2 linked regions of the Macaca mulatta genome follow. Each later gene encodes a partner of the first gene's protein in a complex. Links are inferred from orthologs where the notes say so. Each region holds a gene or a part of one and is shown on either strand. Other genes may lie near its edges.

Region 1 (16,636 bases):
TCTTTCAAAAATCTTTTAGCTATTCTAGTTCCTTTGTCTTTCTATATAAGTTTTAGAATAGTCTTCCCTATATGTACAAAATGCCTTGCTGGGATTTTAATGAGTTGCAACAAAACTGTATATCAATTGGGAAGATTTGACATCTTTATTATGTTGAATCTTCTGAGCCATGGACATGGTATATCTCTTCATTTATTTAGCACAACTTTAAATTTTTTTATCTACATTGTGTAGTTTCCAAAAGACAAGTTCTATGCATATTTTGCTAGATTTACATCATAAGTATATCGTTTATTTTTTGAGCAGCTGTAAATGATAATTTAAATTCAGTAGCCATACATTCATTGTTAGCTATATAGAAATACAATTGATTTTTGTATGTTTATCATGTATCCTGTGACCTTGCTGAATTCACTTATAAGATCTGGGAGTCTTCTTGTAGATTCCTTGGGATTTTCTATATAGATAATCACATCTGCAAATGGGACCGTTTTATTTCTTCCTTTCCAATGTGTATACCTTTTCCTTCCTTTTCTCATTTTATTGCACTGGCTACACCTTCCAGCGCTACAGTGAATGTAAGTGATGAAGCAGAAGCAGAAATCCTTGCCTCATTTCTGATCTTAAAAGCATTCCATTTTTCACCATTAAGTATAATATTAGCTCTAGGCTTTTTATAAATTGTTGACATTAACTTTTTGAGTGGATTACAGTAGTTTTTAAATATTGAACCAGCCTTGCCTCCCATACCTGATGTGGTACAATTCTTTTTTATATGGTTGCATTCCATTTGCTAATATTTTGTTAAGGATTTTGCATTTATATTCATGAGAGATATTGGTCTGTGGTTTGTGGTTTGTTTTTTGTCTTTGTCTGGTTTTGGTATCCAGTTTATATTACCCTCACAGAGTAAGTTTTCTATGTCTAGAAAATATAGTGTAGAATTGCTATTAATTATTTCTTAAACATTTTGTAGAATTCTTCAGTGAAATCATGTGGACCTAAAGATTTATTTTGGGGAGTTTTTGTTTGTTTGTTTTTTGAGATGGAGTCTTGCTCTGTCACCCAGGTTGGAGTGCAGTGGCACGATCCTGGTTCACTGCAACCTCTGCCTCCCAAGTTCAAGCGATTCTACTGCCTCAGCCTCCCAAGTAGCTGGGATTACAGGCTCGTGCCACCACAGCCCAGCTAATTTTTTTTTTTGAGATGGAGTCTCACCCTGTCCCAGGCTGGCAACCTCCACCTCCCAGGTTCAAGTGATTCTCCTGCCTCAGCCTCCTGAGTAGCTAGGATTACATGTATATGCTACCATGCCCAGCTAATTTCTGTATTTTTTAGTAGAGATGGGGTTTCACCATGTTGGTCAGGCTGGTCTTGAATTCCTGACCGTGCGGTCCACCTGCTTTGGTCTCCCAAAATGCTGGGATTACAGGCGTGAGCCACCATGCCTGGCCCTAATTTTTGTATTTTAGTAGAAACAGGGTTTCACCATCTTGGCCAGAGTGGTCTTGAACTCCTGACCTCAAGCAACATAACCACCTCGGCCTCTCAAAGTGCTGGGATTACAGGCGTGAGCCACCGCGTTTGGCTGAAGATTTTTACAGTTACACATTCAGCTTCCTTAATAGTTATAAGTCTGTTCAAATGATCTGTTTTACATTGGGTAAGTTGTGATAGTTTATGTTTTTTGAGGAACTGTTTATTTTCACCTGTCAAATTTATATGTATAGAGTTAAAGTTGCATAGTTTTCCCTTATTATCTGTTTGATATCTATGGTGTCTGTAGTAACATCTCCTGCTTCTTTCTTGATATTGGTAATTTGTGTCTTGTCTATTTTTTTCCTTGTCAGTTATATTGATCTTTTCAAATAACTGTTTCTTTTCATATTGCTCTCTTTTACTTTACTGTTTTCAATTTCAGTGATTACTGCTCTTATTTCTAAATTACTTATTTCCTTCTATGTACATTTGGTTTATTTTGTTAATCTTTTTCTAAGTGCTTGAGATGGGAGCTTAGATTATTAAGAGATTTCCTCCTTTGTGTTTCTGCTATAAATTTTCCTCTCAGTACTACTTCAGCTGTGTCTCACAAATACTGACATCTGGTATTTTTATTTTCATTCATTTTTAAATTTTCTTTGAGACTTCCTCTTTGACCTGTGGATTATTTAGAAGACTGTTGTCTAGTTTTCAAATGTGTAAAGATTTTTCTGTTATTGATTTAAATTCTAATTATATTGTGGTAGGGGAATATATTTTGTATAGTTTCAATTCTTTTAATTTGTTGAGGTGTAAGGCCCATAATTATAAAGAATGTGTATTCTGCTGTTGTTGAATGGAGTGTTCTATAAATGTTGATTAGATCTTGTTGGTTGATGATGTTGGTAAGTTCTATATTCTTGCTGATTTTTTTCTAATTGTTCTATCATTTACTGAGGGAGGAATGTTAAAGTTTTCAACTATAATTGTGGGCTTATCTCTTCTTTCAGGTCTATCAGTTTTTGTTTCACATATTTTGGAGCTCTGTTGTTTGGTGCATATTCATTTAGGATTGCTATGTCTTCTTGGATTGACCCTTTTATCATTATTAAATGTCACTTTCTGGTAATTTTTTTCCTCTGAAGTCTACTTTAACTGATGTTATAGCCATTCTGCCTTCCTTTTATTAAAGTTTGCATGATATGTATTTTTCCATCCTTTTACTTCCAACCAGCCTCTCTCATTATATTGAAGTGAGTTTCTTGTAGGCAGCATATAACTGAGTATATTTTAAAATCTCCTCTACCAAGTTCTGCCTTTTAGGTTTTTGTTTGTTTGTCTGTTTTTTATGGAGTTTCCGCTCCTGTTGCCCAGGCTGGAGTGCAATGGTGTGATCTTGGCTCACTGCAACCTCCGCTTCCCAGTTTCAAGCAATTCTCCTGCCTCAGCCTTTCAAGTAGCTGGGATCACAGGCATGCACCACCACACCAGCTAATTTTGTATATTTAGTAGAAACAGGGTTTCACCATGTTGGCCAGGCAGGTCTCAAACTCCTGACCTCAGCTGATCCACCTGCCTTGGCCTCCCAAAGTGCTGGTATTACAGGCATAAGCCACCACACCCAGCCTTTAGTTGGTATTTAAACCATTGACATTAAATGTAGTCATTATTATGTTAGGGCTTAATTAAGTCTGCTATTTTATATTTTGTTTACTATTTGTTGTCTCTGTTTTTCATTTCTGTGTTTTTGTATTCCTGCTTTTCTGTGGGTCACTTGAACATATTTCAGAATTTGATTTTGGTGTTTTTTGAGTGATATGTTTTGATTTTATCTTTTTCCATAGTTATTTTAGTAGTTTGTCTAGAGATTGCATTTACACATACAACTTATCAGTCTACTGGTGTTATTAGTATTTTTTTTTATTTTTATTTTTGAGATGGAGTCTTGCTCTGTTGCCCAGGTTGGAGAGCAGTGGCGCAATCTCAGCTCACTGCAACCTCCGCCTCCCAGGTTCAAGTGATTCTCCTGCCTCAGCCTTCCGAGTAGCTGGGATTACAGCTGTGCACCACCATGCCAACCAGTTGTGTTTTTAGTAGAGACAGGGTTTCACCATGTTGGCCGGGCTGGTCTCGAACTCCTGACCTCAGGTGAACTGCCCACCTCGGCCTCCCAAAGTCCTTGGTTTACAGGTGTGAGCCACTGTGTCTGGCCTTCCTGGTGTTATTATTTTGCCAGTTTGAATGAAGTATAAAAACTTTACCTTTCTCTTTGTCCCTTTACCTTCCCTGTTTATAGTAGTTGTAAATATTTCCTCTACATATATTTAGAAAAACATAAATTGCTTCAACTGCCTAACATAATTCAGAAAACTTAAAAAGGGAAGGAAAGTCTATTTTATTTCCCTGAATTTTTGCTCACTATGTTCTTTTCTGTCTTTTCTGATGTCTCAAGTTTCATTCTTTTATTATTTCCTTTCTGTTTACAGAATTTCCTTTTGCTTCTTTTAGGGTGGTCTGCTGGTGAAAAATTCTTAATTTTTCTTTGGCTTGGAATGTCTTGATATTCTCATGTCATCCTGAAGGATATTTTCACTCAGCTCACTGCAACCTGATATGCAACTCTGGGTTGAAAGTTCTCTTCCTTCAGTACTTGGAAATACTGTGCTACTTCTCTCTGGTCTCCAGGTTTCTGATTATAAATTTACTGTCATTCTAATTGTTTTCTCTCTCTAGGTCAGGCGTTGTTTTTCTTTGGCTGTTTCTAAGACTTCGTCTTTAGTTTTCAGAAGTTCATTTATGATGTATCTTGACATGAATATATTTGGGTTTATCCTGTTTGGGATTTGCTTAGCTTCTTGAATCTGTAGACTTGTATCTCTTTACAAATTTGGGGAGTTTTAAGCCATCATTTATTTGAGTACTTTAGTCCCACTCTCTTCTCCTCTCCTTCTGAAACTTCATGACGCAAATGTTAGCTCTTTTGTTATAACCCCACAGTTCCCTAAGGCTCTGTGTTTTTCAGTTTATTTTCTCTGATTGAGTAATTTCCACTGCTAGCTTCCATTATCCATCTCACTGATTCTTTCCTCTGTCTTTACTCTGCCATTGAGCACATCCACTGAGCTTTTTATTGTGGTTATTGTATTTTTTTAGTTCTAATATTTTCATTTCTTTTATACATTTTGTATATTTTCGCTGAGGATTTCTATTTTTTTCTATTTTCTATTTCTGTTTTTCTATTATTGCATTTGTTTTAAGCATGTTCATAATTGCTTGTTGAAGCACTTTTATTATGGCTTCTTTAAAACCTTTTTCAGATTATCTAACATCTGTCATCTCAGTGTTAGCATCTATTGTTTTTCTTTTTTTACTCATTTGACATCTTCCTGGTTCTTGGTATGATGAGTGAATTCACTTTGAAACCTGTGTAGTTTTATGTCCTGATATGAAACTCTGGGTCTTATTTAAGCCTTCCATTTTAGCTGGCTCCTTTCGATAGGCAGCCCTGTGGCAGGAGAATGAGGGTGCTGTCTTGCTACTGTTAGGTGAAGGTAGACATCCAAATTCCCCACTCAACCTTCACTAACACCCAAGGGACTCCTTTTTACTGCTTTTCGGGTTTGGGAGTATGGCTCCTGACATGGTCACCACAGGGGCAGAGGAGTTGTTACCAGCTGGTTGATGAGAAAGCCCCATCTCTCTACATGGCCTTTCCTGACACCACCTGGCACAGTGTTACAGCTTGGTGAGGGTGGAAGTCTAGGCTCCCCACTCAGTCTTTGCTACCCTGGATGGAGTGGGGACACAGTTTTTCTGTGGTGTTTGGCTGGAATAGAGCAATTATTGTCTAAATGTTTTATGCTTGCTAGGCTGCTCTTTTCCTAGTGCTCTGACTAGAGAGGGAAGACTTTTGTTGGGGCTGTTTTTGTCTGTGGTTGCTATTATTTCTGGATTTTTGGACTTTTCTGCCCCATGTCTGGAATTTATGAGGCAAAAGAAAACCCAGGGAACTCACCACCATCACCATCCTTAGGTATCGAGGTCCCTAGTTGGTCCATCTTCTTTTCTCCACTTTTCAGAGACTTCTTGTATTTGTTTTATACGGAATGTTCAGGGCTTTTAGCTGCACTTAGTGGGAGGATTAGGGAAAATTATATCTACTCATCTTCCAGAAGCAGCCATATCAAGTTTTTAAATGCTCCTAGGTGAGTCTAATGTACCGTGAACCCCAAAAACCATCAGACCACTGAGTTGGCAGTGACTTGGTTCAGATAACCCCAATCTGGGGCTATCATTGAGAGCACCCATTACAAAGTTGACTACTATTCCCTAAAGAGACACGATACTGTCTCTTTGACCCCCTCCTCAGCCCAGCCCCATGGGAGACAGGGTTACCCAACTAAGGATAACTTGTCTTGAAGTCTTTGAGAATTGCTAAAAGTGGTCATCAGGGAATTATTATCATGGTCAATAGAGCAGTCATTTTCCTAGTGGGGAAGGGGCTATTACCGGGGTTAGGGTACATGCACAGCCCTCTCTTGTGGCTGGCAGTGTTCTAGGTGTCGTTTGCCTTAAGTTATGCGTTTGTTTTAGGTGGCTTTCTGCATGCTTTGTTTTACAATTTTTTAAATGTTTTTTTCAATAATTTTTATTTCATTTAAATAATTTTTCACAGTGTTGACCTTCTATTGACTGCGACTTGCAACATCTAACTGTGGCCATTGGTGTCTGCAGGTCTTAGCCCCACGGAGCTGCCATTTGATTGCCTCGAGAAAACTAGCCGAATGCTCAGCTCCACGTACAACTCTGAGAAGGCTGTTGTGAAAACGTGGCGCCACCTCGCCGAGAGCTTCGGCCTGAAGAGGGATGAGATTGGGGGCATGACAGACGGCATGCAGCTCTTCGACCGCATCAGCACGGCAGGTTACAGCATCCCTGAGCTGCTCACAAAACTGGTACAGATTGAGCGGCTGGATGCTGTGGAGTCCTTGTGTGCAGACATACTGGAGTGGGCGGGGGTTGTGCCACCTGCTTCCCAGCCACATGCTGCATCCTGAAAAGCATGCCTGTGGGTTGTCCTCCCAGGACAAGCCAAGGATCAATGAGGGCTCTGGAGCTGTGAGTGGTGCCAAAAGACTGCCAAGAATCAAGGCTTTTGTGATGTCACCATATGCCTTAGGATGTTCAAGGAGCCAGATGAAATAAGGCCTGTCTTCCAATTTAACCAAAGATAAAGGACTAGAGCTGGGCTACTTTCAGATGCTCGCCTGTACTTCACCAGGCAGAGTAAATATCCACTCACTCATAGAGCGAGCCCACCAGCCCACCATTAACTCACTGAACAATGAGACAATGTTGAGGACTCAAAGGAACCAAACCCCGTGGGACTGACAGAAGTGAAGAATCTGGTCCCTGTCTTTAAGGAGTTTGCACTCCAGTAGAAGACAGAAGGAACGTATGTTTACAAACCACTTCACTGGAAGACATCAAACAAGCTAATGAAGGGGCACTTAGAAAATGTAATAGAAGTTCTACGCGGGAGATGACTCCCTACTGGGATGATGAAGGATGGCATCCTAGTGAAGAAGCAGCTCAAACATTTTGGTAAAATGGCTACAAAATGCAAACACCCTGCTCCAGGTATTATTTCAGGTTTAGTACAAGTCTGTTAACACCCTATGTGGTTTCATTAGGATAACTTTACCTATCCTTGAGGTCATCCATATTCTTACAGGCCTTCCAGTCAATAACGGAAGAGCTCACTCTATACAAAACCAATATGCAAGGCATGTGTTTGTCCAAGCAATTGGATGTGTGCAGTAGCCAGTTCCATTTACTGCATGAATCTTTGGCCTGGGTACCCTGTGGTTTGCATTACATGTGAATGGCCTTCCACTCTCAGCCTTAGGCAGATTTGACCTTTTAGGGGCAGCAATGCTCAAGGACACAGCAATTTAAATTATAACGTGTCAGGCTGTGTTTTCACTTCAAACATATATGAGTAGTCAACTGTAATTAGAGAAATGATGACTTCCTAAGAGCTCAGCCACGCATAATTCTAGATTTCAAGAGCTCATCTGAGACTCGTAGATTAGCCTCATGGCATGAGAGTTTCAGACTCAGCCTTCTGAGCCAGTCAGGGGAAGTGGAGTCCTGCAGTGCAAATGAGGGCCTGGGCTTGGAGTCCAGGGAGCTGGCTTCTAGTGCCACCTTGGGTCTTGTCTTTTCCTCTCTCAACCTCAGTTTCTCTTCTGCAAATGAGATGTTAGCCAGTGATTCTATAATCGGGGCAGGTAGGGTTCAGGTGAGCAAAAAGAAAGTGGAGCTATAGGAAATGCCAGGCCTTTGAGGTGCTCTATGGAAGTGAATACAGTGTGGTTTGTCCGTTTAAATGGGAATTAAAACAGAAAAACTCAGAATTGGCATTTTCACAGTAACTGCAATGGTTTGACATAACATTTATAGGCAGAAAGCTAATAATCTGGCATTGTTCTTGGCAGACTCTCGTACTATCCCTGTAACTGCCAAGAGCTCAGGAGGCAGGCTAGTGATCACACCAGGGGTTAATTTAGAGTTCACTGCTGAGCTCCCTAATGGCAGGTCTGACTGTGTTTATTACTAAATTAAAACAAAGTTTCTGACTTATAAAGCGAGGTTGTAAAAATGACAAGTTGCATGACTGAAAAAATGCTTTGGGGGGAAAATCAGTCATATCTTTAACACCAATAAGCAATTTCCCACCAACGAATGTAGTACATACTGTGAGAGGATCATAATGAGGTCCTGAATATTTAATATCATCATTTACTGTGTCTGTTTGCTGCTGTTTTTCAGAACCTATTTGGTTTATCTTGCAAGCTAAATACTCCACGGCAGAGCTTAATTATCCTTTTAATTCCTCTTTGAAATCCTGTGGTGCCCCCTTCCCCCTGCATTGTGATAATGATGATGAGTCTCCCTTTAATTAGACTGCAAATGTCACTTGTGATGAGTGTGCCGTTCCAGGATAACAGCTTGTACCCTCCTCAGAATGTTTTCAGTGAAGGAGTAGGGTGGCTGTTCTCTGCTCCTGGTGCTTTGGCCTCATTTCACGCTCTTGGAATTCTGGGACTGTAAGGCCAGCCAGTGTCAGCTCATGTTCCACTGGCTCTCCACCTGCCATTTTTAGGGAGCTATTCCTTATATAGTTACACATTCTCTTGTCATTTACTTATTTGGAAACATGGGATTTACTCTGACAAGCTTTAGCCTTTGTTATGGGATTCAGAACAATGAGATCATAATAATTCTCACTGAACAAAGCTGGGACTCCATCCTGCCATTTTTGTGTGGAGATATTACTTTGCAATACTTTAAAACATTTAGAAAACACCCCAGGGTAGGTCTGTGGCCCTTAGTGAAGTCTTAATTGTCAATATTTTTGTCTAACTCTGTATATATATAACTTATTATATTTTATAATCTCAATAAACACACTAATAAGATTTATAGACTGCTGTAATATGAGCTCTTTGTATTTGGGGTGGTGGGTCGGTGGGTGAGTGCAGAAGGTTCTGATTGCTCTGTTCCTGGTTATTGCACTATGTGTGATGAGACTGTAGGATTGCAACCAGCTATAAACACAGTGCCTAAAATGTTATGGCCTGGGCCATTCACTAGAGTCCACTGCTCTAGTGAACGTCTGGTGTTCTAGAAGTAGAACGCTAGAACTTCTAGTGTAGAAGCAAACATTACAAGGAGATCATGTAAAAACCACCTGGAGCATTGTTTTCCAAGTTGCTGTTATTAGCACATAAGGCATTGTATCACTTATCTATTTCTGTGTAACAAACTATCTTAAAATTCAATGGCTTAAAGCTACAGGCATTTATTATCATAGCTTGGGGGTTAGTAGAGGGTCCGTCAGCTGACTTAGGTTGGGCTCAGTTGAATGTGGGTCAACTGGGGCCTCTGCCTGTTGGAATACCTTAACTGGGGCAGCTCTACTCCATCATCTCTGTCAACCTAGATAACAGAGAGAGGCTCTCTAAAAGAAAATGATGATATGTATTGGGGAATAGGGCATTACAATGGGAATACATGTGCCATAGTAAACTACGTGTGTTTTTGAAGAGGTAAAGGAAGACAACAGTTCTTAAAGGAAAAATAAGAAGGATTACATAATTATTTTGAGACAATTATCCTTGGCTGCAAGGATCAACAATAAGGGTGGTGCCAGTCCAAGGCTGGACAGGGAGTTGTTGGGCAGAGGTCCTTGCAGGAGGCTTTGTGTGTGTTTAAGATTGTGATGGCTTTTGCGCAAGGTTTTGGTTTTTTCAGAGTCTTGTGATGGCTCTTGTCATCAGTCATTTATCTAGGAGAACCCTTCTTTCATGGCCTTCCGTGGCTCTATTTGTCAGGGTTGTTTTTTGTTTTTGTTTTTGGCACAAGTGACTCCTTTATAATACTGACAACTTTCACATTTCCCCCATTTGATCAAGATCTTTATCAGAGAGCATCCCCGATGAGCCATCCCGTAGTTAGGTTTTGATTATTCCTTGGTGCCAGGATAGACCTGTCCTAGGTGGCTGGTCTGGTCTCACACTGGAGGGATTTCATGGTGACTAGGAGTCAGTGTCAAAACCCTTTAGCCATGTTTGAGCAAAAGGGAAGTTTGGAGAGACTGGCTCTCAGGCTAGGTCTACTTGAAGTCTATTGTTAAGTTCGATTTTGTCTGTTCTGTAAACATTTGCTATCATCTCAAAATGCAGGGCCCGTATTATTCTGTTAGAAGGTGTACTTCTACTGAGATTTGACAAGTAACAGATAGGAAGTTTAAAAAACGAAAATGTAAAGGAAAAATAAAATCAATAGTAATATGAGAATTCCAGTTTGCATAATGGTTTTGAGCCATGAATGTAGGTTTAAAGGCAAACAAATGAATAAATGAAATAACCGTGAGGAATTGGGTGACCCTTCTTGTAACCTTGTGGCCTTTTTCTTTATTTTGTGAACATGGGTCTCAACTTTCCCAGAGGAATTTACCTAGGTACAGCATGTAGTATTAGAAATAGCACAGACAAAGATGGCTACCAGAAGCATTTCATGTCAGCCTCTTCCACTTAGAACAAACATAGTGTGTAGACAGTCACACTTTGAATACATTATCCAATAGAGAACACTGGAATTCAACAGAGAAGTGGCAGGAAACACCAAAAGCAGGGAAGGAGAAGGGAGACAAGCAGCCTGCCTAGCCAGGATCAACTAGGAGCTGGGACTGACTTCCCAATTCCGGGAAAGGGTGAATGAGAGACTTCCAGTGGCCCAGATCCCCACCATGAAATCATGTAATCCTGGCCATGAGACCCCCTCAACCCTCCCAACCACTGAAGCTAACATAGGGAGCTGCCGGGAGACCGTGGGATGGAACTGCTCCAAAGATGGAGCTTGCACTGGATCCCACACTTGTCTGAGACCTAAGCAACTACAGCAAGACACCATTTTCAAACCTAGCCGTGGGTAGACTGCATGCTGTCCTGGGGCCCAGAGGCACTGGGACTGAGGTGTTACAGAAACCCAGATTGCTGCTGCTGGGAATAGGGAGTAAGCTGTGAGCACTCCCACAGCCAGGGCTAAGAAACAAACAAGGAAAGGGTTGCAGTTGCTGATGCCAGGAAGTGGGTGCTGCTGGGACGGAGATTAGGATGCTGAAAGGGTGTAAGCTGCCGCTGGGACTTGCTCACCAGCTGAAATGGGGCCTCCGCAGCCAGGGTGGGAGCGTGAGACAGGCATGGGCTAACACTGTCAAGGCTGGAAAGCAAACCCCACTGGGACTGTGGGAAGGACATACATTCCCACTTACCAGCCCAGGCTGTGACCACAGAGCACAGCCACACTCTGTTCAGTCGTAGCACTTCAGCACAGCTGCTAGCATCTCTTACCTGAGCACTCTGCCTGGGGCCTGAGGATCACCCTACCCTGGCCCCCAATGGTGGTTCTTGCTCTCACCAAGAGGCCTGAGCACAAACCTGCACAGCCCAGCTTTGCCCCCCTCTTTGAGACAGGACACATATCCTGGGGTCCTGGGGACTGTGCAAGGCAATCCACCACCTTGGGTACCTGAGCACTCTTTCTGGGGCCTATGGTTGGGCCTAAACTCCCAGCCACCATCACGTCACCTGGCACCTCCTTGCAAGTGCCACCTGAAGGCCTAGAGATTGTCCCACCCAGCCCATCACAGCAACCACCAACATCAATGCACACCACTTGGGACCCACACAATCATCCTGCTCCTGCTGCTGCCATCGCTCATGCTATGCCAGCTGCCCAAAGGCCCCAAAACCCACCTACACACCCAGTCCATTGCTGCCACTACCAGCAACTGAACAAGCCACCTGGAGGCCCAGAAATCAGCCTGCCAAATAACTGCCAACAGAGATGCCAGCATATACAGCCCTGGGCACAAATGGGCACATTTAGCCCATTGCTGTCATCACTAGGGCCTGAAGACTGGCCCATCTGGCATCCCAATCCCTAGTACAACTTCACCACAGCCTCCACTAGTAACTTCACCCTAACCCAGTGGGGAAATCATGGATGCCACCAACACTATTTACAGCCTACAAAATTATACAGAGACTACATTACTACATGCATCCAGAATCAAAGCCAAAGTACCCTACTAAACCAAAACCATAGATATATCTTTAGGAAAAAATCCTCTTCTATGAAAGAAAATTTCAAAAACAGGAAGAAGCAACAGTTACACCAGATGTGCAGAGATCCACTTAAGGACAAATGAAACATGAAAAATTAAGGAAATGTGATGCCTCTAAACGAACATCAGAATTCTCAAGCAATACATCTTAATCAAAAAGAAATTTTTGAAATCTCATATAAAAAATTTGAAATATTGATTTTAAAGGAGCTCAGTGATATACAAAAGAACTCTGAAAAACAATACAAAGAAATCAGGAAAACAATACGGGATATGAATGAAAAATTTACCAAGGAGATAGGTTTTTTTTTTTTAAAGAACCAAATAGAAATTCCAGAACCGAAGAATTCATTGAAGGAAGTATAAAATACATTTGAAAACTTCAAAAACAGATTAGATAAGGGAGAATAAAGAATCTCAGAACTTGAAGACAGAATATTTTAAATAATCCAGTCAGACAAAAAGAAAAAGAATAAAACAAAATGAGTAAAGCCTTCATGACACTTGGGAAAACACAAAGTGATCAAATATTTGAGTTATTAATATCCCTGAGACTAAAGAGACAAAGAAAATATTAGAAAATTTAATTAATAAAATAATAGATGAAAACTTCCTAAGTCTAGAGATTTAGACATTGAAATACAGGAGACTCACTGATCTCCAGGAATATACATTCTGCAAGCGTTTTCTCCATGACACACTATAGTCCAACTGTCTAAAGTCAAAGATAAAGGGTGAATCCTAAAAAGAGCTAGCATCCTAAAAAGAAAAGCATACGGTTACCTGAAAACCCCTGACCGAGTGCGGTGGCTCATGCCTGTAATCCTGACACTTTGGGAGGCTCAGATGGGTAATCACTCATACTCAGGAGTACAAGACCAGCCTGAGCAACATGGCAAAACCCCATCTCTACCAAAAATACAAAAAATTAGCCAGGCATGGTGGCTTGTGCCTGTGGTCCCAGCTACTAAGGAGGCTGAGATGGGAGGATTGCTTGAGCCTGGGAGGCAGAGGCTGCAGTAAGCCCATATCATGTCACTGTACTGCACTCTGGCCTAGGTGACAGAGTGAAACCCCAGTGAGACCCCATCTGAAAAAAAAGAAAGAAAGACAACCCCATCAGCCTAAGAGTGAGTTTCTCAGCAGAAACCTTATAGGCCAGAAGAGAATGGTATGATATACTCAAAGTGCTGAAAGAAAAAAAATGTCAGCCAAGAATACTATATCCAGCAAAATTATCCTTCATAAATGAAAAAGAAGTAGTCTTTCCTGGACAAGCAAATGCTGAGGGAATTCACTACCACTAGACCACTCCTACAAGAAATGCTCAAGGGAATTTTAAGCCTGGAAGCAAAATAACAACATTTACCATCATGAACAAATGAAAGTATAAAACTCACTGGTAAAGCAATCACATAAAATAGGAAGAGAAATGGTACCACTGTAGAAACCCACCAACCACAACAACAATCAATAAGAGAAAAAGAAAGGAACAAAGAATATATGAAACAACCAGAAAAGACAACAAAACCTCACATATCAATAACCTTGAACACAAACAGATTTAATTCTCCACTTAAAAGATATACAATAGCTGAATGGATTAAGAAGCATGATCTAACTATACGCTTCTTACAAGAAACTCACCTTACCACTTTACGTCTGAAAGTAAAGTGATGTACATATTCCATACAAATGAAAAACAAAATTGAGCAGGTATAGTTGTACTTATGAAATAGAATAGACTTTAAGTCAAAAATAGTAAAAAAAAAAAAAAAAAAAAAAAAGACAAAAAAGGTTGTTATATAATGATAAATGGATCAATCCAGCAAGAGGATATAATTATTCTAAATATGTATGTCTAGAACATTGGAGCACTCATAAAAATAAAGTTAATATTATTAGATCTAAGGAGAGATAGATGCAATACAGTAATAGTCAAAGACTTCATCTCTCCCACTCAGCATTAGATAGATCACCTGGACAGAAAATCAAGCAGCACTGGATTTAAACTAAATTTTAGAGCAACTGGTCCTAACAGATCTTTTTTTTTTTTTTGAGACGGAGTCTCACTCTGTTGCCCAGGCTGGAGTGCAGTGGCACAATCTCGGCTCACTGCAAGCTCCACCTCCCAGGTTCATGCCATTCTCCTGCCTCAGCCTCCCGTGTAGCTGGGACTACAGGTGCCCGCCACTGCACCCGGCTAATTTTTTGTATTTTTAGTAGAGACGGGGTTTCACCGTGTTAGCCAGGATGGTCTCGATCTACCTCGTGATCTGCCCGTCTCGGCCTCCCAGTGCTGGGATTACAGGCGTGAGCCACCGTACCCGGCCCTCTAACAGATCTTTACAGAACATTCTATCTGACTACAGAATATACATTCTCTCATCAGCATGTGGAACATTCTCCAGGATAGACCATATGTTAGGCCACAAAACAAGTCTCAATAAAACTTAACAAACCAAAATCATATCAAGTATTTTCTTAGACCACATGGATAAAACTAGAAATCAATACCATGAGGAACTTTAGAAACTATACAAAGACATGGAAATTAAATAGAATGCTCTGAATAACTGCTGGATAAAAAAGAAATTAATATAAAAACTTTAAAAAATTTCAAAGAAATAAAAATGGAGAAACAATATACCAAAACTGATGGGATACAACAAAAGCAGCGCAAAGGGGTAGGTTTACAGCAACAAACACCTACACCAAAAAAAGGAGAAAGAGTACAAATTAACAATCAAACAATATACCTCAAGGAAATAGAAAAGCAAGAACAAACCGGGGGGGGGGGGGGGGGGCGGAGCAAGATGGCCGAATAGGAACAGCTCCAGTCTCCAACTCCTAGCGCGAGCGACACAGAAGACCGGTGATTTCTGCATTTTCAACTGAGGTACTGGGTTCATCTCACTGGGGAGTGCCGGACGATCGGTGCTGGTCAGCTGCTGCAGCCCGACCAGCGAGAGCTGAAGCAGGGCGAGGCATTGCCTCACCTGGGAAGCGCAAGGGGGAAGGGAATCCCTTTTCCTAGCCAGGGGAACTGAGACACACAACACCTGGAAAATCAGGTAACTCCCACCCCAATACTGCGCTTTAAGCAAACAGGCACACCAGGAGATCATATCCCACACCTGGCCGGGAGGGTCCCACACCCACAGAGCCTCCCTCATTGCTAGCACAGCAGTCTGTGATCTACCGGCAAGGCAGCAGCGAGGCTGGGGGAGGGGCGCCCACCATTGCTGAGGCTTAAGTAGGTAAACAAAGCTGCTGGGAAGCTCGAACTGGGTGGAGCTCACAGCAGCTCAAGGAAACCTGCCTGTCTCTGTAGACTCCACCTCTGGGGACAGGGCAATAACAAACACAGCCGAAACCTCTGCAGACGCAAACGACTCTGTCTGACAGCTTTGAAGACAGCAGTGGATCTCCCAACACGGAGGTTGAGATCTGAGAAGGGACAGACTCCCTGCTCAAGTGGGTCCCTGACCCCTGAGTAGCCTAACTGGGAGACATCCCCCACTAGGGGCAGTCTGACACCCCACACCTCACAGGGTGGAGTACACCCCTGAGAGGAAGCTTCCAAAGCAAGAATCAGACAGGTACACTCGCTGTTCAGCAATATTCTATCTTCTGCAGCCTCTGCTGCTGATACCCAGGCAAACAGGGTCTGGAGTGGACCTCAAGCAATCTCCAACAGACCTACAGCTGAGGGTCCTGACTGTTAGAAGGAAAACTATCAAACAGGAAGGACACCTACACCAAAACCCCATCAGTACATCACCATCATCAAAGACCAGAGGCAGATAAAACCACAAAGATGGGGAAAAAGCAGGGCAGAAAAGCTGGAAATTCAAAAAATAAGAGCGCATCTCCCCCGGCAAAGGAGCGCAGCTCATCACCAGCAACGGATCAAAGCTGGACAGAGAATGACTTTGACGAGATGAGAGAAGAAGGCTTCAGTCCATCAAATTTCTCAGAGCTAAAGGAGGAATTACATACCCAGCACAAAGAAACTAAAAATCTTGAAAAAAAAGTGGAAGAATTGATGGCTAGAGTAATTAATGCAGAGAAGGTCATAAACGAAATGAAAGAGATGAAAACCATGACACGAGAAATACGTGACAAATGCACAAGCTTCAGTAACCGACTTGATCAACTGGAAGAAAGAGTATCTGCGATTGAGGATCAAATGAATGAAATGAAGCGAGAAGAGAAACCAAAAGAAAACAGAAGAAAAAGAAATGAACAAAGCCTGCAAGAAGTATGGGATTATGTAAAAAGACCAAATCTACGTCTGATTGGGGTGCCTGAAAGTGAGGGGGAAAATGGAACCAAGTTGGAAAACACTCTTCAGGATATCATCCAGGAGAACTTCCCCAACCTAGTAGGGCAGGCCAACATTCAAATCCAGGAAATACAGAGAACGCCACAAAGATACTCCTCAAGAAGAGCAACTCC
Region 2 (15,736 bases), on another chromosome or scaffold:
TTTGTCAACCGCTTCCAGAAGTGGTTCCGGAGTATGATACACATCTACCCCTGTGCTTTCTATGGACGTGGCTTCACCAAGAAATCCTGGGGCCTTCTGCCCTATAGTCGGCCTGTAACCACCATTGGTGAGTGGGCCTTTCTGCTGGCAGCCTCAGTCTAGGACACAGGATCTAGCTCTGAGGCTGAACCTCAGCTCTGACTCTGCTCAGAGGCAGGGAGGCTGGCTAGGATGAGTGGCAGCTTTTTGAGGTGAGGATGGGGATAGTCTGGGCTTGAGGCCTGGGGCCTATTCTGAGGAATGAACTATTCTGATGCTTTTCTCTTTTCCTTCATTGTCTCCCCTGGCAGTCGGGGAGCCTCTACCAATGCCCAAGATTGAGAATCCAAGCCAGGAGATCGTGGCTAAATATCACGCACTCTATATTGATGCCCTACGTAAACTGTTTGACCAGCATAAGACCAAGTTTGGTATCTCAGAGACCCAGGAGCTGGAGATAATTTGACAGACATCCCCAGCAGCCTTCAGCCTGGCTGGAAGGTATGGACCCAGTGAGAACAGGAGGACAAGAGTCACCTATGGGCCTCCTGCTCCTGATTTGACCAGTCCTCCTTATGGGGAGGGCCTGTTCATTTGCTTGTTTTCTGCACTCCTTTTCCCACTTCATTTCTTTTTCCTTCCAGCTCTTTTCTGCCCTTTCTTCACAGCTACAGGAGACAGAGTCCCAAGAAACAGGGAAGAGCCTAGGGGAGAGGTGCCCTGAAGGCACTTTGGTGCCAGCATTGAGGAAAACAATGGACAAAATAAAAAGCCCATGTTCTGATACTGCGTGTGCACCCACTCCTCTGTTTCGAGGGCTCTGGGATCCCTGCGCATGTCTCTCCTTCTCTAGCTGTCAAACAGCCCCATCTCCTGGCATTGAGCCCCATCTCCTGGCATTGAGTCCTACTTCCTACAGGAGTAGGACTGGGACCTGCAGAGCCAGTGGGCTTTGAGTTCAAGCTCCACCAACTTCAAGCCACGTGACTGTGGGGCAATCAGTCATCTCTGAGCCTCCTTTCTTCGTCTATAAAATGAGACTAACAATCTGTCCCCTGCTTACCTCAAAGGCTGTTGGGAAGATGAAACAATATTGGATGTGATTGAACTTTATACACTGGAGAGCTACGTGAACCATTTTCTTTTCCAACCATCTTCCTCATTTCCTGTCCCTGAGCAAACAATGCCCTAAATACCCTCTGCTACCCACTAGCCCGCACTCAGTTTCCGCCTCATAAAGCTATAACAGAATAGGTTGGACTCAGGCCTAATTTTCTCTGTTGTTCCCTCAGCAACTTGCCTATACTTGCGTGGCCCTATAATTCTGCCCTTTGTTTGAGAGTCAGCCAGCCTGCTCAGGATGGAAATGAGGCGCCTAGCTTTTAGCAGCCATAAAGAACTCTCCTTCTGAATGGCAAGTCTCTCAGACTCTTGGTCTAATGGCTGTTGCAATGACAGGTTACAACATTTGGCTCACAGCCCTCTCATTCCATTCCTCTTGGGTGGGTGCCATTTGGTCCAGTGATTTACCTGCATTACGTTCGTCAGTTTGGTCTACAACATCCTGCGTGTTTACTGCAGTGTGAGCTGCTGCCTCTACCCTGGGTGCCTGCCTCATGTGATGATTTGTATACAGTGGCCAGAGACATGCTTCTGCTTTTCTGCTGTCTTTGTCACTTGTTGTGCCAGAGATTACATTTTCCCTGAGCTTCCATAAAGTGTTTTTAAACAGTCTGCAGCTTTCCTGTGACTGGTTTCCTTAAAAAAAACAAAACAAAACAAAAAAACTCTAAGGTGGCTAGAGGACCAGCCTGGGCTGCAACACCCAGCCCATGCATACCTGGCCATTGCAGATTTGTCGTGGTCTACTGTGTGCACATTGCTCCACCTATACGATGGCATGGGGGTGGGCCCGGGGAAGCCAAAAGATTGGTGGGGGCCCGGGGCGAAAGGTGCTGGGATTGTGAAAAGCGCCAGACCTCTCTTGAGCTACGTGTTCTTGAGCTGCTATCGGGTCTTCTTCCTGTGAGCCTCTTCCCTATTGATCTTAGCTCAGGATGGATGGAGGGCAAAATAGGCAAATACTACTTTTCCAGGTAACAGCAGCCTTGGCTGGGAAGGAATCAGACCAGGCTGACACACTTACTAGTTGGGTAACTCTGGGTGAGTGACTTAAATTCGTTAAGTGTTGGTTTCCTCATATGCAAAATGAGCTGGAGGCTGGGTCTACCCAAGCTATTTGGGGCCCAGGCCTGAAGTGTATTTTGTAGATGCCACATTCTTAAGCTGAGAGTCAGTTCTGTGTATTGCTGCCCCCGGACAATGTTCCTTTTGGCAGGACATCTAGCCTGCTTGTCATGTGGTCACAGAAGACCTAAGGCAAGCTTGTCTACCCTGTGGCATGCGGGCCAGGACGGCTTTGAATGGGGCCCAACACAAATTCATAAACTTTCTTAAAACAGTATGAGAATTTTCTGTGACTTTTTTTTTTTTTTTTTTTTTAGTTCATCAGCTATCATTAGTGTTAGTGTATTTTATTTGTGGCCCAAGACAATTCTTCTTCTTCTGACCTAAGGTAATGGGGATGTGGGAGTGTGGTCTGAGGCACAGAGAGGATGTGGGATGTTCCAACAGGAAATTCAGACCATCTTCCTTCTGTTGCTGCCTTTGAAATGGGTGCCTTGGTCCTTCCCCTAGCTCATGTGTGGCGTCATTTGCAAAGAAGCACTTAACATGTAGGAAGTGCTCACGCGGATATCAAGAACAGATAGGGAAAGCGCTTTATTTGCAAAGAATAAACCATTAATTTACACAAACTTACATCCCAGTTTATATACATTATATATAGTTTATATACACAGTATCTCACACTGGATGCTGACCCCCAAAAGCAGCATTGGGCCTGCTCCAGGCCATTCTCACAACAAAGCCCACCCCCTAATATCAGAGCTGGAGGAATATAGAAATGACACACCCCGAGCCCTCCTGGAGAGAGACCTGAAATGGATTAAAAGACAAAAATCAGCTTTATTCTTTGTGCTCACAGGGCCTAGAGAAGCCTCCAGGCAGGGATGGGTCCTGAGGCAGCATTACAGTAGCCTAAGGACTTGCTGGTACTGGGCCAGTCTCCTGCTTTCCAGTCCAGAAGCTAGAGCTGGGAGAATGCCTTGAGAGGAGGAAGAGTTCTGATGAAGGCTGCAGCTACTCCCTGCCTGGCCAGGCTCCTGAAAGGGCCAAGTACTTCCATCCTGGAGTTTGTGGGTGGAAGAAAGAAGATGGCCATGTGGGACAGGAACTGCTTTATCCCCTCAGTCTGCTGACTCTAGAGGTTGGGGCTTGTTCACCACTTGGGGCAGGTCATCTTCCCTCTCTGGGCCTCAGTTTCTACATAAGTAGCAGGGTGGAATCTAGGTTGGGCTAGATTCCCTCTAAGGGCCTTTTTAGCTCTAAATTTCTCTGAATCTATTTGCGTCCACAGGAAGTTACATAAACACACACGCTCATACATGGATCAAAGTCTTTGTTTACCTCCAGGGTTCCTAGCTCTTTCCTGTTCAGTAAAAGAAATTTGGCTCAGGATGGACGAAGCGGGAAATAGGCAAATACTACTTCTCCAGGTAACCAGTAGCCGAGCAGCCTCCACCAGCTGTCTTTTGTGCCAGCTTGGCTGTTAAAGCCCAAGTAGCTGGCAGAGACTCCTGCCATGCAATTCTCCTTCAAACCTCTGTCATCTGCTTGCCCACAAATGTCCTTGTCCCATTCTCCATGCTAGCATTGGTCCTCTGGCAAACTCACACCAGCATAATTCCAAACTGTACATCTATTTGCACATTCTCTCATCAGTAAATTGTTTTGTCACTTTGCCGCCAATGACTTAGCAGCAATAGGGCTCCCCAGCTACCTATTGCTTCCCTCATCATCCCTTGCCCCCTGGAGTTCCTTTGGAGGGTTCAGAATGAATCAAGGGTCCAGTGGAGATCTTATTTCCTTTATCATCCCCTCCATGTCCGGAGAATAGAATGGTATCAGGATGCCCTTTAGGGGCACAATTAGGAAGACTTTTCCTCCTCTCTCCTCACATCTTTCTGGCCTCAGAACCAGTCCTCTTTCAGGTCTTCCCTCCATCCCTGAGAGACCCTGGTAGTATCAAAGTCTCTAAGGTATGGTGGAAAGAGATAAGGAGTCACACTAGTAGTTGTGGGAAGCAAGCTGGCTCCTGTAAGCTGTCTGTAGGGTAATGGAAGGAGGACCTTGCCCACAGTAGGGGCTCCACACATGATGGTTGGCTGGTTCCTAGGATGGGTGAAAGAACATAAAGGCCACCAGCTCTGTGGGTCCCAGAGGCCTGCTGCTTCAACAAGGTGCCAGAAAGATTCTTCTGAACACAAGAGCTCTAAGGTTGATGGCTGCTTCCCAAAGGAATGCCTGACTCCTTTTGCCACAGAGCCCCTGGCAGCCAAGAGGACAGGTATTACCGTCGAGGAATGAAAACGGGCATCTCTGGGCTTCTCCCTAGAGCCCTCAAGGATTTCAGTTCCAAATTACCACTTTTATTCGTTCTCTCTAGACCTCAAATTCCACACAGTGCTGTGGTATAATGGAACAACTTTGGAGTCAGACCTGGCTGAAGCTCCAGGTCTGCGGCTTAAACTGGTCAAAACGCTCTGAGAGTGCTACCTCACTAAGCCTCATCTAAACAATGATGTTTGTCATATTATCAGCCTTGCCTTCCTCAAAAGAGATAATAAAGGAGAAATTATTTTCCAAATATGAAGGAGAGGTTCTTGTTGGTTTCTGCTACAACTGCAGACTGTCCAAGGCACTTTATAGGAGTTAGGGACAGACACATGCCTGGAGTTCACCTCACCTTCGGTTGCAAGGCTGTTGTTAGCAACCAGACAATGGAGGCCTAGCCCATCACCTCTCACCCTGACCCTTGAAGGGCCAAGCAGTGTGGTTGCTTAGAAAGGGAAGGCACAGCTGAGAAATAAGTACCCTCTGTTCTCGATGAATTTCAGCTGCCTGGAGGAACTTATTCCCCATCTCCTGAAAAGGAAACATATTTCAGAAACAAGAGGAGCAGACTGTACAAGGCTGGCCTTCCCAGGTTTGGGCTGGACCTAGCACTCAGAAGCCAGGCTGAGCCAAGGCACTTTGAAGTAAGGCCCTCGAGGGTCCTACCACACGATCTGGTGGGAAGCTTGGGGTTTAGGGGAAGGTGCATTTGGACCTGAACTAGGGGGCAGATCCCTGCTCAGTGCCTAGACACTGGCTTCTCCTGAGTCTGGCTTCACAGGAGCAGCATGAGCATCTGTGGTGACCATGCTCTGCTATGGCTTTTTGAAGCCAGAGTGAAGAAAGACTGGGTCAGTATGGCATCAGCAGCTGGCCTTTCAGGTAAGGCCTGGCCTAATGTCCACTTGTGTTGCAGCAAACTGGAACAAAATCCCTCTGTCCTATCCTCACCCCTTGCCCTTTCTAGGCCAGGTAAAAAGGCTCTGCCTTGCTAATGCCCAGGAGCAGCCTAGGGTTTGGGAATTTAGAAGGCTGTGGTGAGGGCCACCTGCTAAGAGTCACAAGTACTAGAAATTGAAGGGACTTCTGGAGGTCATCCAGTCCAACCCTTTGTCTCCAGACAGAATTGATTAGGAATGGATGAAAAACATTTGTACTGTTTAATAAACGAAAAATTCTCTTTGTGCCCAGGTAAGCTAAAGAATATCCCAGACTCACATGAGCACAGGTCCCAGGTTAGGCACCTGTCTCAGACAGAGGTAGGCTCTGTGGAGAAAGAAGGCAGGAGTTCTAGTCAGGCTGGGAATGGGGGCAACTAGGTGACCCCAGGGAGTTTTCTGAGTGTGGAGCACAGCTGTAAATAAAATGAGAGACGTGTGACCCAAGTACGGATTCAGGGTCTTATGCGGGCAGGTTTGTGGCCATTCCCTGTGATTGTTCCAAGGCAGAGCAAACTTCCCCTTCCCAAAGCCCAGCAAGCTGCCACAATGTAGCTGTCAGCCGGAGTGGGAAGAACACTCCGACCCTCCTGCAGGCCACAGTATAGAGCAGAAAGAACATCCCCACTGCCAAGGATGCTCTCTTGGCAGGTTTCTCTCATGGTCTCTTGCCAAAAGCACCTGCCTTTTCCCTCTCTGGCCTTCTCAGGCTGCAATGCTACCTTCCCACTCCGCCCCCACCACCACCCTACCCAAGAGAGGAGCAGCAGCCCCTTGGGGTCAGATGTCCACCCCCAGAGTCTGGAGTGCACCTCTGCTCTCTCTGGCCTGCTGCCCTGGATCCTCATTTTAGTGCAACAAACAATAGATCTGACAACAGGGACCTCGGGGTTGAAGAGTCATGCCATAAGCCAGTCAACATGGAACCAAAGAAGGTTCTGCTTCATGTAAACCCTGGGGCTCCATCAACTGTCCTGTTAACTCAAGGTCATTCTGGAAAGTCAAGCAGGCCTTGTCACCCTGGAGTCACTGGGGAATAAATAGCACTGAGGCATTTCTCTCTGTGGCTGCAACACCAATATACCTCACTCCACAGCAGCACTTAGAGGTTCTGGGAGTCCTGGCTCCCAAACCCAGGGAAGGGGCACGGACAGAGGCAAAATGGGGGGAATCTAGGATGCAGGGGCTTCACCCAGCCTGATGGCCCCAAAGAAGGTGGTGTGCTTGCTCATGTTGATGGAGATGTCAGCGTGCACCATCTTGACGGCGATCTTCTGCCGGGCTTTGAGGAGGCAGACGCCTGCGGTATAGCAAGTGTTGTAGTTGGTCTTGCCCGTCTCGATGCTGCGTGTGCACTGCAGGAAGGGCTTCTCATCCACCACCACCTCATAGCTGGCAAAGTCAGTGAAGTTGATGTAGTATACCTGAGTGAGAGGCAACAAGAAGGGATTGGGGAAGAGAGGAAAGAGAGGGTGGGGGGCCCTCCCTGTGGTGAATTGACAGAATCTTCTCAGATGAGCTGCCAGCATACCCCATGGATGGGGCAGTGCCATGTGAAGGCGTGCTAGCTGGCCAACAGGAAAGGCAGGGTGACAGGCGGATGCATTGCCCTTCCCCTAGTCCATGGGGCTCAGCTGGTTGAGCAAACCTTTCTTACAACAGCACACCTGTCGTAAACTCTGTAAGGCTAAGAACCATGCCCTATTTGCAGCTTCACCGTGTCCCTGTACCCCCACCCGCCCCTGCCCCAGCTCTGACACAAAGCAGAGTGCCCTGCACATAGCAGGTGTGCACACAGTGCCGTAGACACAAACCGACTTCCACTCTTGAGCCCCGCGGACTATTTGTGGAGAAACTTAGAAGTCACTGATTCCCCAGAGGGGTCATATAACAACTTGCGATTTCTTCAGCTCCTTAACAGAAGCTTATTCAGCTTGCACCACCCCTCCCCTGTGCCTGGACTCCCCTCACTGATTCACAGTACCCCTTGAGCCTCCCATTTGATGATTGAGGAAACAGGTCCAGAGAGATGGAGAGCTAGCTACCGCAAACAAGACAAAGAATTTGGAAAAGCCCAGGCCCCTGACTTTGTGGCCAGAAGGAGGCACTAACTTATGCTCAGTGGCCTAATGTCATGGGGATTTTCCCAGCCTGCATGGGCCACTCTCAATTCTCTCCTAGGCTCAGAAAATTAATTTTTCCATCCTTCACTACCCTTATCCATCATACCTCACACCAAGTTGTGATCTGCCCTCCCCCACCACCGCCCCCACTGCCCCCACCACGTGGAGCTTGGCTCATAGGACATCAGGGTTATGCCCATGTGCCCCATGGGTGTTGGGACTCTCAGATATCACTGTAAATCTTTTTATGAAAGGTCACTCCCTCCATCAGCTCTTCAGCTGGGAACAGCATATTTGGGTGCCACATATGGATCAGGACCCAAGCTACACCGGGGTGCTCAGTGTGCCTAGCAAATGCTTGTTAGCCCACCTTTGCTGGCCGCTCTCCTGTGACACCCATGTGTTGGTTCCATAGTCCTTCTGCCCACCTGCCTGCTTGCTGCCCACCCCACAAAAGTCCCAACCTCATGGCTCATCTTCCTCTATCTCCAAGGAGCCATCCCCATGGAGGCAAACAATCGGGGAATGGAAGTAGATGGACACTGGCAGACTTGGGGAGCGGGCCCAGGGCAGGAAGAGGACAAAAGCAGAGGGAGAAAGGGCTGGGAGAATAACAGCAGGAAGGAGGCAAGAATAGAGGAATAGAAAGATAGGGAAACAAATGGGAGAAAGAGGAAGGAAAGACAGTCAGAAATCTTTTTGAGGTAGAAAGAAAGTCTGCAGGAGCACTATTCATTATAACGCCCGAGCCAGCAGTGTTGAGGGGAGGGGTTCTCAGTAACCCTGGAACTGACTTTCAAAGAATATACTGAGACCAAGTTCAAGTTTGGCAGTGGAGCCAAACAGCTCGGATGGTAAACAGGGGCCTGAGGCCCTGCAGGAGGGAATCAGATGGCAGAATGTAGGAGGGGCCTTTTTCACAGTTTTTCAATAATATTTGGCTAGGGAAAAACAAAACAAAACAAAACAAAACAAAACAAAACAAAACAAAACAAAACAAAACAAAACAAGCTGGCCTCCTCTCTCTTTCCTTCTTTCAACTCCCTCCCAGTGCGGTCCCCCCACCCCCTCACCCAAAGCAGGAAGTTAGCCATTGGATGGTCTTGGCTGGCTCCACAGTGCCCCTATGTGGTCTGCACCGGATCTGCATTCTGGATATAAGAAGAGTTAGGCCTAAGACCGTACTCACTTCTACCTGACTATAGATGAAGTAGGTGCCGTCCACCAGTACCTCCAGCTCCCCGCTGCGGGGATGTAGCTTAAACACCTTGGGGTTCATAGTGATGCGAGACCAGTCATTGAGCACTCCACCTGAAAGATCTCAGTATGAGAGAAGGGCAGTCACTCAGTACATGTCAGAATAATCGAGGCAACAGAAAATAAATACCAAGGAGTTCACGACCCCCAACCCTATCCCAGTGCAACCAGGGTAGCCTAGAAGGCCAAACTTTAAGAAGAGCATTTGAAAGCAGAGAAGCTGTTCTGTTTGTAAAGCAGCTGCCAGGCCTGCTTCAGGGCTCCTGGGCTCCTGTCTGTCTTTATACTTCCTTTCTTGACCCTTGCATCTGGAAGGGTCTTTAACCATTACCTTCTAGCTGGAATTTGCCGGAGGAGGATGAGAGTGGGCATGCTGCCCTATTTTCTTTGTTGTTATGGGGCCTGCACAGGCAAAATTCAGACACTGAGTGGCAGGCTAGGTCTTATTATTCAATTTTACTTTCCCAGTCAGAGCTCCTGAATTCCTCTTGTCTCATAGGTTCATGGGTTTTCTCTTTCTCCTTAAGAGATTCTTTTTTTATGGTTCTTCCACACCCACAGCTTTCTGGAAAGCCTCCCTGGGAGGAAACCACTCAGCCCACTGTCTATCTGGAGAACCTTAGGGATTAGAGATGATTCAGACTCCACGGCAGCTGGGGCTACTGACCACCAGTACCAGGGCCCCATAGGTGAGAGGGATCCTTATGAGAGTGAAAGATAGACTGGCAGGCTGCAACAGAGCCAGCCGGGAGGATAGGAGCCGAGGCACCCTTGGCAAAACATCTGTCTCAGCTCCACCCCAGGCAGGGGTGGAGGGGCAGTCGCATTCCTTTGGACAGTGGAAGCCAGCGTGTGAGGGTGGAGGAAAATCTTCTCTTTCCATCCTGCAGAAAGAGGAATGTTCCCTCCCACCATGAGAGGAGGACATCCAAGCCCAGGGAGCCTTTTCCCTTCTAAGTCATCCATCCTGCACCCAAGAAATTATATTTTGTAAGTCCATCTTTGGTCAGTTTCAGTAGGCCTGTCTCTCTGAGGGATGAGGAAACAGGTTTTCTGGAAAAGGTGACCATCTTTCCTTGAGGTGGTAAGTAGACGGGCTGGGAGTTAGGAGGAACTGCCCTGGCTCTGTCCCATCAGTGGACCACTCTGCATGACGTCCTCCAATCCCTGACCCCATCACTTCTTCTTCTTCTTCTTCTTTTTTTTTTTTGAGAGGGACTGTCACGCACTCTGTCACCAAGGCTGGAGTGCAGTGGTGTGATCTTGGCTCACTGCGACCTCCACCTCCCGGGTTCAAGTGATCCTCCTGTCTCAGCCTCCCGAGCAGCTGGAATTACAGGTGCGTGCCACTATGCCCAGCTAATTTTTGTATTTTTTGTGGAGACGGAGTTTCACCATGTTGGCCAGGCTGGTCTCAAATTTTGGCCTCAAGTGATCTGCTCCCCTCGGCCTCCCAAAGTGCTGGGATTACAGGCGTGAGCCACTGCACCCCACCCCCATCACTTCTTCTGGTAGTACTAAGGGTCAGCACAGACCACTTCTGAGGATTGGCCCAGAGGGGCTGGAAACAATCCTACTGTGTGGCAGTGGGAGCAAAATCAGTGGCTGCTGGCACAGAAGAAACACTATCTGTCTAGATACCCAAACAAATCTATTTTGGCCTGTCTCTGGCCTCCCTGGACAGGTGGGGATCATGGCCCACTCAGGGCCTTGCGGTCCCCAGCAGGACCAATTGGGTTTTGGTGCCATTCTCTTCCTATTTACACTTCTGAGGCTACTAAGTCAGACATGGAGGTGGCAGTCAGGGAAGTAACTAAATACAGTCATTAAGGAAACTCAGTACAGCCAGTTCAGGACTGACTGAGTTCTTAGAAACTGTCCCCAGGTAGCTGTTTTTTTTTTTTTAACCTTCCTTTACCGTTTCTGTACTCAAAACCCCTCCCTTCCACTCCAAGCTCTGTAAGCATCTAGCATTTTGGTTAGCTTGCTGCTTCCCAAGGCTCCTGGGGGTTCACGCATTTTAGGCTTTGTGCACTCTGGGGACTGGACATTATTCCAAAGTGCTGTTCTTTCATGAATGTTCATGTCTCTTTGGGGGAAGAAAATGAACCTTATCATTCAGTGGAGTGTACATACATATCACTGAAGTAGCATAGGGGAGAGGAAAGAGTCAGAAAGATGTAGTTTTGAATCCTGGCTCCTAAACGAACTTGACTAAGAAATATTGGGAAAGTTAATTAACCTCTCTGAACTTCACTTTCTGTCTTTGTAAGAAGGAGCTCATACCTACCTCATAGGGTGGTTGTGAGGACTGGATGAAATTAAAGACAAAGAAAGCATGCTGAAAACTCTAAAGTATCATACAAAATGAGGCAGCATGATTTATTAATGTATTATCCAATCTCTCTGGGACTCTGTTTCCTCATCTGTTAAATGCGGGGATTACGATAAATCAGTGCTTCTTAAACCCATTAAACACATTCTCCCTTTTGATAGACACTAGCATCTTCAACCCCCTGGAGATTCCAACATGCCCCACTTGCCCTGAGAGAAGCAGCCCGTCTGCCCATCTGCGTAGATCCATCAGACAAGAAGAATTTAATTTTACATTGTTTTACTTTCTATAATTTGTATTGTGAAAATATTAATCTAACTACACATATCTCCGTGGTGGCTCTGATATAAACTCCATCGCCTGAGAATGCCTGGGCTAGATGATGTCTCAAGTCCCCTTTCAGCTCCGCAATCAGTGATTCTAAATGCAATTTGGGTGTAGCAACTGGTCTTGATGCTAGCAATTGCTCAGGACAGCCAGTAGAGGGCATGATGGAGCAAAGAATGACTTCGTATGCCAAGGGTACCTCAGGGCCCTGGGAGGAACTAGGCTGGGTGATTATTTGGAGGTTGGGGAGGAGGAAGGGGAGAAGCTCCTCTTTGGGAGAGAGCCTATTTTGATTCTTACCATTCTTGACTTGAATTGCTGACCCTTGGCCCTGTAGATGCACCACAGCTGGCTGGCAGGATGAGAAGGATAGAGAGTAGTCACTATGAGTAATGGCTGCTTGCTCAGTCACCGGTCCCATGTTTCCATCCTGGTTTCTAGTCTTCTATTGTAATCCAATTCTGATCCCTCTCCCCTCTCTTGGGATGTTACTGACTACGTTTCTACTAGAGGGTAGTATGATTTTGTAGCTCTACCGCTTGCTAGCTATGTGACCTCAACCAAATGTAATGCCTCTGAGCCTCATTTCCCTACCTGTAAAATGGGGATTATAAGAATGTCTGGCCTCTCTCACAGGGATGTCTAAAGATCAAATGAGGTGATGGATATAAAATTGCCCTGCAAGCCGTCAAGCACTGTGCAGCTGTGTAGATTTATCACTGTGGCCACACAGCTGTGGCGAGGGAGGCTGAGATGAGACAAGGCAAGGCAGCAGAACCTGCCAATAGAGACAGATTAGGAAGCTCAAAGACTGGGAGGAGCTCTTCAGGCCATTAAGGCAGACGCCCAGGCTAGGCTGGGCCTGGAGCTGGCTGGCTGTTTTTCAAGGACATACTCTTCAACTCTTCAGGTCCGGATCCCAGGTGGTCTGAGAGCCGACAAGGTGTCTGGGGTGGCTGGGGAGTTGGAGGCTCAGGTGAATAGGTCTGACTGGCAGCTTATTTCAGCTGACTACTGGGCCTGGCTATGGTGACCCTGGGGTCTCCTGTGGAATGAGGAAAAATGATCCTGGCAAGACACCCTTTCCTTAGCTAAAAACATGCCCTGGGGCAAAGCTTTTCTATTCATAGAGATGGGAGGGGGCTGTGAGTGAAAACCCTCAGAATCTCCAGGGTGTTCTCATGAAATAAAGCCTCAGGAAATCTAATAAGAAGCTAATTTAAAGGTGGCTCTAGCCTGTGGCTTTCCTTCCTACCCAAGAAGAGAGCAATCCCCAGCCAACCTGGTTTTCTCGAGTTCCAGCTTTATCAGCAGCACCTGCAAAATAGGACAGGCCTATCAGAGGGCATAATCTTTTGACTTCCTTTTCCCCTCACCTGAGCAGCTAGTGGTGGTGAGCCGTGCTCCCTGCAGCCAGCCCTGTCTGAGCTTTATTCTCCAGGGCTTAGAGCTGGAGGAAGAGTCAGAGTGCACCTCTTCTGTTTCCTGCCCCGACCTTCATCTTCAGTGGGCCCAGCACCCAGCAGGAAAACTTCTGAGTATTGCCTCTGGCCAATATTAGCCCAAGGCAAGCCCCACCAGGCACCCATGGAGAACAATGAGAGGGCATTCCTGTCACTGTGTGACCCTGAGACAATGGCATTGGCTTCTCTAGCCTTTCGCTCCCTTTCTATCAATTTTCTTCATAGAGCCCACTGCTGTTTGTAAATATCTTGTTTCTTTGTTCTCTTTTCCTCTAGGAGATAACCTCTATGAGAAAAAGGACCATGTATCAATATGTCTCTTTGTATACAGAAAGCGCTCAATATTTAAGGAATGATTGGATGAAAAAAAATCCCCAACTCCATCTCTTGTGGTCATGGTAACACTGCTTAGCCCTGTGTGAAGTACAAGTTAAAGAATCTGAATCCTGCTGCAGAATTCTTGCCCCTGGAGAAATCAGCTGTAAGGGTCCATTTCTTTAAAGCCCCAAGATACAGGGCGGGGGAGTGGGGAGCAGGGGGAAGAAATAACAACTGACATAAGCCCAGGCAGTCTGACTCTTGTCAATGCAGGTTTGGATCTGCATTCATACCTTTCAGATGCCCTTCAGGCATCTGAAGGAGAAAAATGCAAAGGGGTGAAATGACATTTGAATGGCAAGTGTGGTAGGGTAAGGATCTAGTGCAAGAAGCACTTGGTTCCTGGATGGGACAGCCTTGGTGCCTGGGTTTGCTTTATCCACAGACTGAGTGACTCTTAAGTTTCCAACTTCTTGACCATTAGTGACTACTTGCTATGGGAAAAGCACTTCAGACTTCATAAGATGAAACTGTCCTAGGGCTTGTCATTTTGTTCAGTCCTCAACTTTCCACTCCATAGCCTGTTTCTATGCAAACATCAGCATGTGGAGCTAGATGCAGGGAATCAGAGAAGATTAAATCTATTCCCCACTGGAACTCCAATGAACCACCAGGGCCTCTGTCTCTGGCTCATATGAATTTTACTGGTCCACTACAGGGAGGCCAAGAGTCAGGGAGGACTTGTGATAGAAGGGTTGAGATGGGGTAAGAACAGGTGGCCTGTCCTTGACAGGTTGGTAGATGTAAGAAGCTAGAGCAGGTCAGGCCCTACTGGCTTGTTCAATTCCTAGTTTTACACTGGTCTTGGAGAGCTGCATCCCTCATTGCACACCAACCCCATCTCCACCGTTTGAAACTGCTCTCAGGATCACCCACTCTTGCTCTCCTAAAGTACTTGTAAGGCACCTGGTGGGGTGGAAAGACAGGGGAACTCACCAGAAGGTCCCTGGAGGCCAGGGGGTCCTTGAGGACCAGGAGGACCTGGAGGACCAGGTGGTCCCATAACCGTTGTTCCTGGAATTCCAGGAATCCCTGGAATTCCTGGGGGTCCCTGGGGTCCTGGAGGTCCTGGGGGTCCTGGAGGGCCATTGGGTCCAGGAGGTCCTGCTTTCTTTCCTGAAAAATAGGGTTCAGTGTTACTTTTTTTTTTTTTTTTTTGAGATGGAGTTCTGCTCTGTTACCCAGGCTGGAGTTCAGTGGTGCTATGTCGGCTCACTGCAACCTCCACCTCCCGGGTTCAAGCGATTCTCCTGCCTCAGCCTCTGGAGTAACTGGGTTACAGGCACGTGCCACCGTGTCTAGCTAATTTTTGTATTTTTAGTAGAGATGGGGTTTCACCATGTTGGCCAGGCTGGTCTCGAACTCCTGACTTCGGGTGATCTGCCTGCCTTGGCCTCCCAAAGTGCTGGGATTACAGGCGCAAGCCACCATGCCTGGCCTCAGTGTTGCATTTGTAGTTATTTCCTGGATGAGTGGACTGTCAAGAGTTCTACAGACTTCTGAGGACACAAAGTCAGCTCTCTGGGAGTCCCTGCTAAAGAGTTGGATACCTTTATCACACAGCTCTGTCTCCCTGTCTCTGTGTGTCTTGTGCTTTCTCTCCCTTCCCCCCACTCCCTTTTGTGAATACGCATTTACAAAGCTAGGTTTGAGCATCTAGAAATAAGTGGCCCTCCAGGAGATCAGTCTGTGTCTGTGGGGAAACAGACACAGTAATGGGATAGTAGAAGTGCTACCTTAGTGGGTAGGGACCAAATGCTGAAGAGGTCAGGGAAGGTTTCAAAAAGGAGGTTACATTTCAGCTGAGTCCAAAGGATGAGAACTACCAAGTGATTAGACCTATGGGTCACTTTGTGGTTCTTTTTAGAATTGGGCTATTGTTGAAGAATGTAGAGCTTTTATGTTTGCTGCCCAGTTTGGTGGACTTGATGTCGATAACAAGAGGAAGCTGTACAGCCTGGCCTTAGGAACGGTATCAGCTCCAGGAAGGTTCCTCTAGGAGTCAGGATGTACAGGAAATGGGGGTTGGGATGGGGACAGTGCTAGTTGGGAATGAGAAATGGGAAGGAGTTTTGGAGATGGGGGAATGGAGAAGGAGGAGGAGGGGCACGGGAAGAGGGGGAGGGAGAGAGAGATATCGAGAAACAGGAAAGAAGCAGTGACAGAGAGTAGAGAGAGCTGAGGAGGAGGCAGCAGGTTTCACTTTCTTAGCTGACCTCTGTAAACTCTTTTTAAAAAGATCTCTGGGAAAGGAAATTCTGTAAACTCCATTGTAACATGTTCCAATGTTTATTGCCCCTCACTGCTCACTGTTAGGAAGTTCTCTGGTATATTAACTGATGTCCCTCTTGTGGCAGTTTA

The links.
Region 2: the proteins of EDAR (region 1) and EDA are in contact, whole or in part, in a crystal structure (PDB 7X9G), measured with the Homo sapiens proteins. The link is inferred for Macaca mulatta from reciprocal best matches to the Homo sapiens genes EDAR and EDA. Residues at the interface, in NP_071731.1 of Homo sapiens: Glu55, Pro56, Tyr57, Leu58, Lys78, Ile86, Arg88, Arg89, His90, Asp92, Glu94, Gly95, Phe97, Val134; in NP_001390.1 of Homo sapiens: Gln256, Ser258, Ala259, Gln261, Asp265, Asp273, Arg289, Tyr310, Tyr311, Lys340, Thr341, Tyr343, Ser370.

Annotation. Positions count from the first base shown.
Region 1 is NC_133418.1:19,476,058-19,492,693, reverse strand, and holds the end of EDAR (tumor necrosis factor receptor superfamily member EDAR), read left to right. Parts: intron 1-6,213; coding exon 6,214-6,536; 3' UTR 6,537-8,965; downstream 8,966-16,636. UniProt on the Homo sapiens protein: Receptor for EDA isoform A1, but not for EDA isoform A2. Mediates the activation of NF-kappa-B and JNK. May promote caspase-independent cell death.
Region 2 is NC_133426.1:76,549,106-76,564,841, reverse strand, and holds the end of EDA (ectodysplasin-A), read right to left. Parts: intron 14,492-15,736; coding exon 14,312-14,491; intron 12,852-14,311; coding exon 12,817-12,851; intron 11,887-12,816; coding exon 11,835-11,886; intron 8,936-11,834; coding exon 8,805-8,935; intron 6,917-8,804; coding exon 6,665-6,916; 3' UTR 2,797-6,664; downstream 1-2,796. Other genes in the region: AWAT2 (acyl-CoA wax alcohol acyltransferase 2), read left to right, coding at 1-127, 351-505. UniProt on the Homo sapiens protein: Cytokine which is involved in epithelial-mesenchymal signaling during morphogenesis of ectodermal organs. Functions as a ligand activating the DEATH-domain containing receptors EDAR and EDA2R. May also play a role in cell adhesion.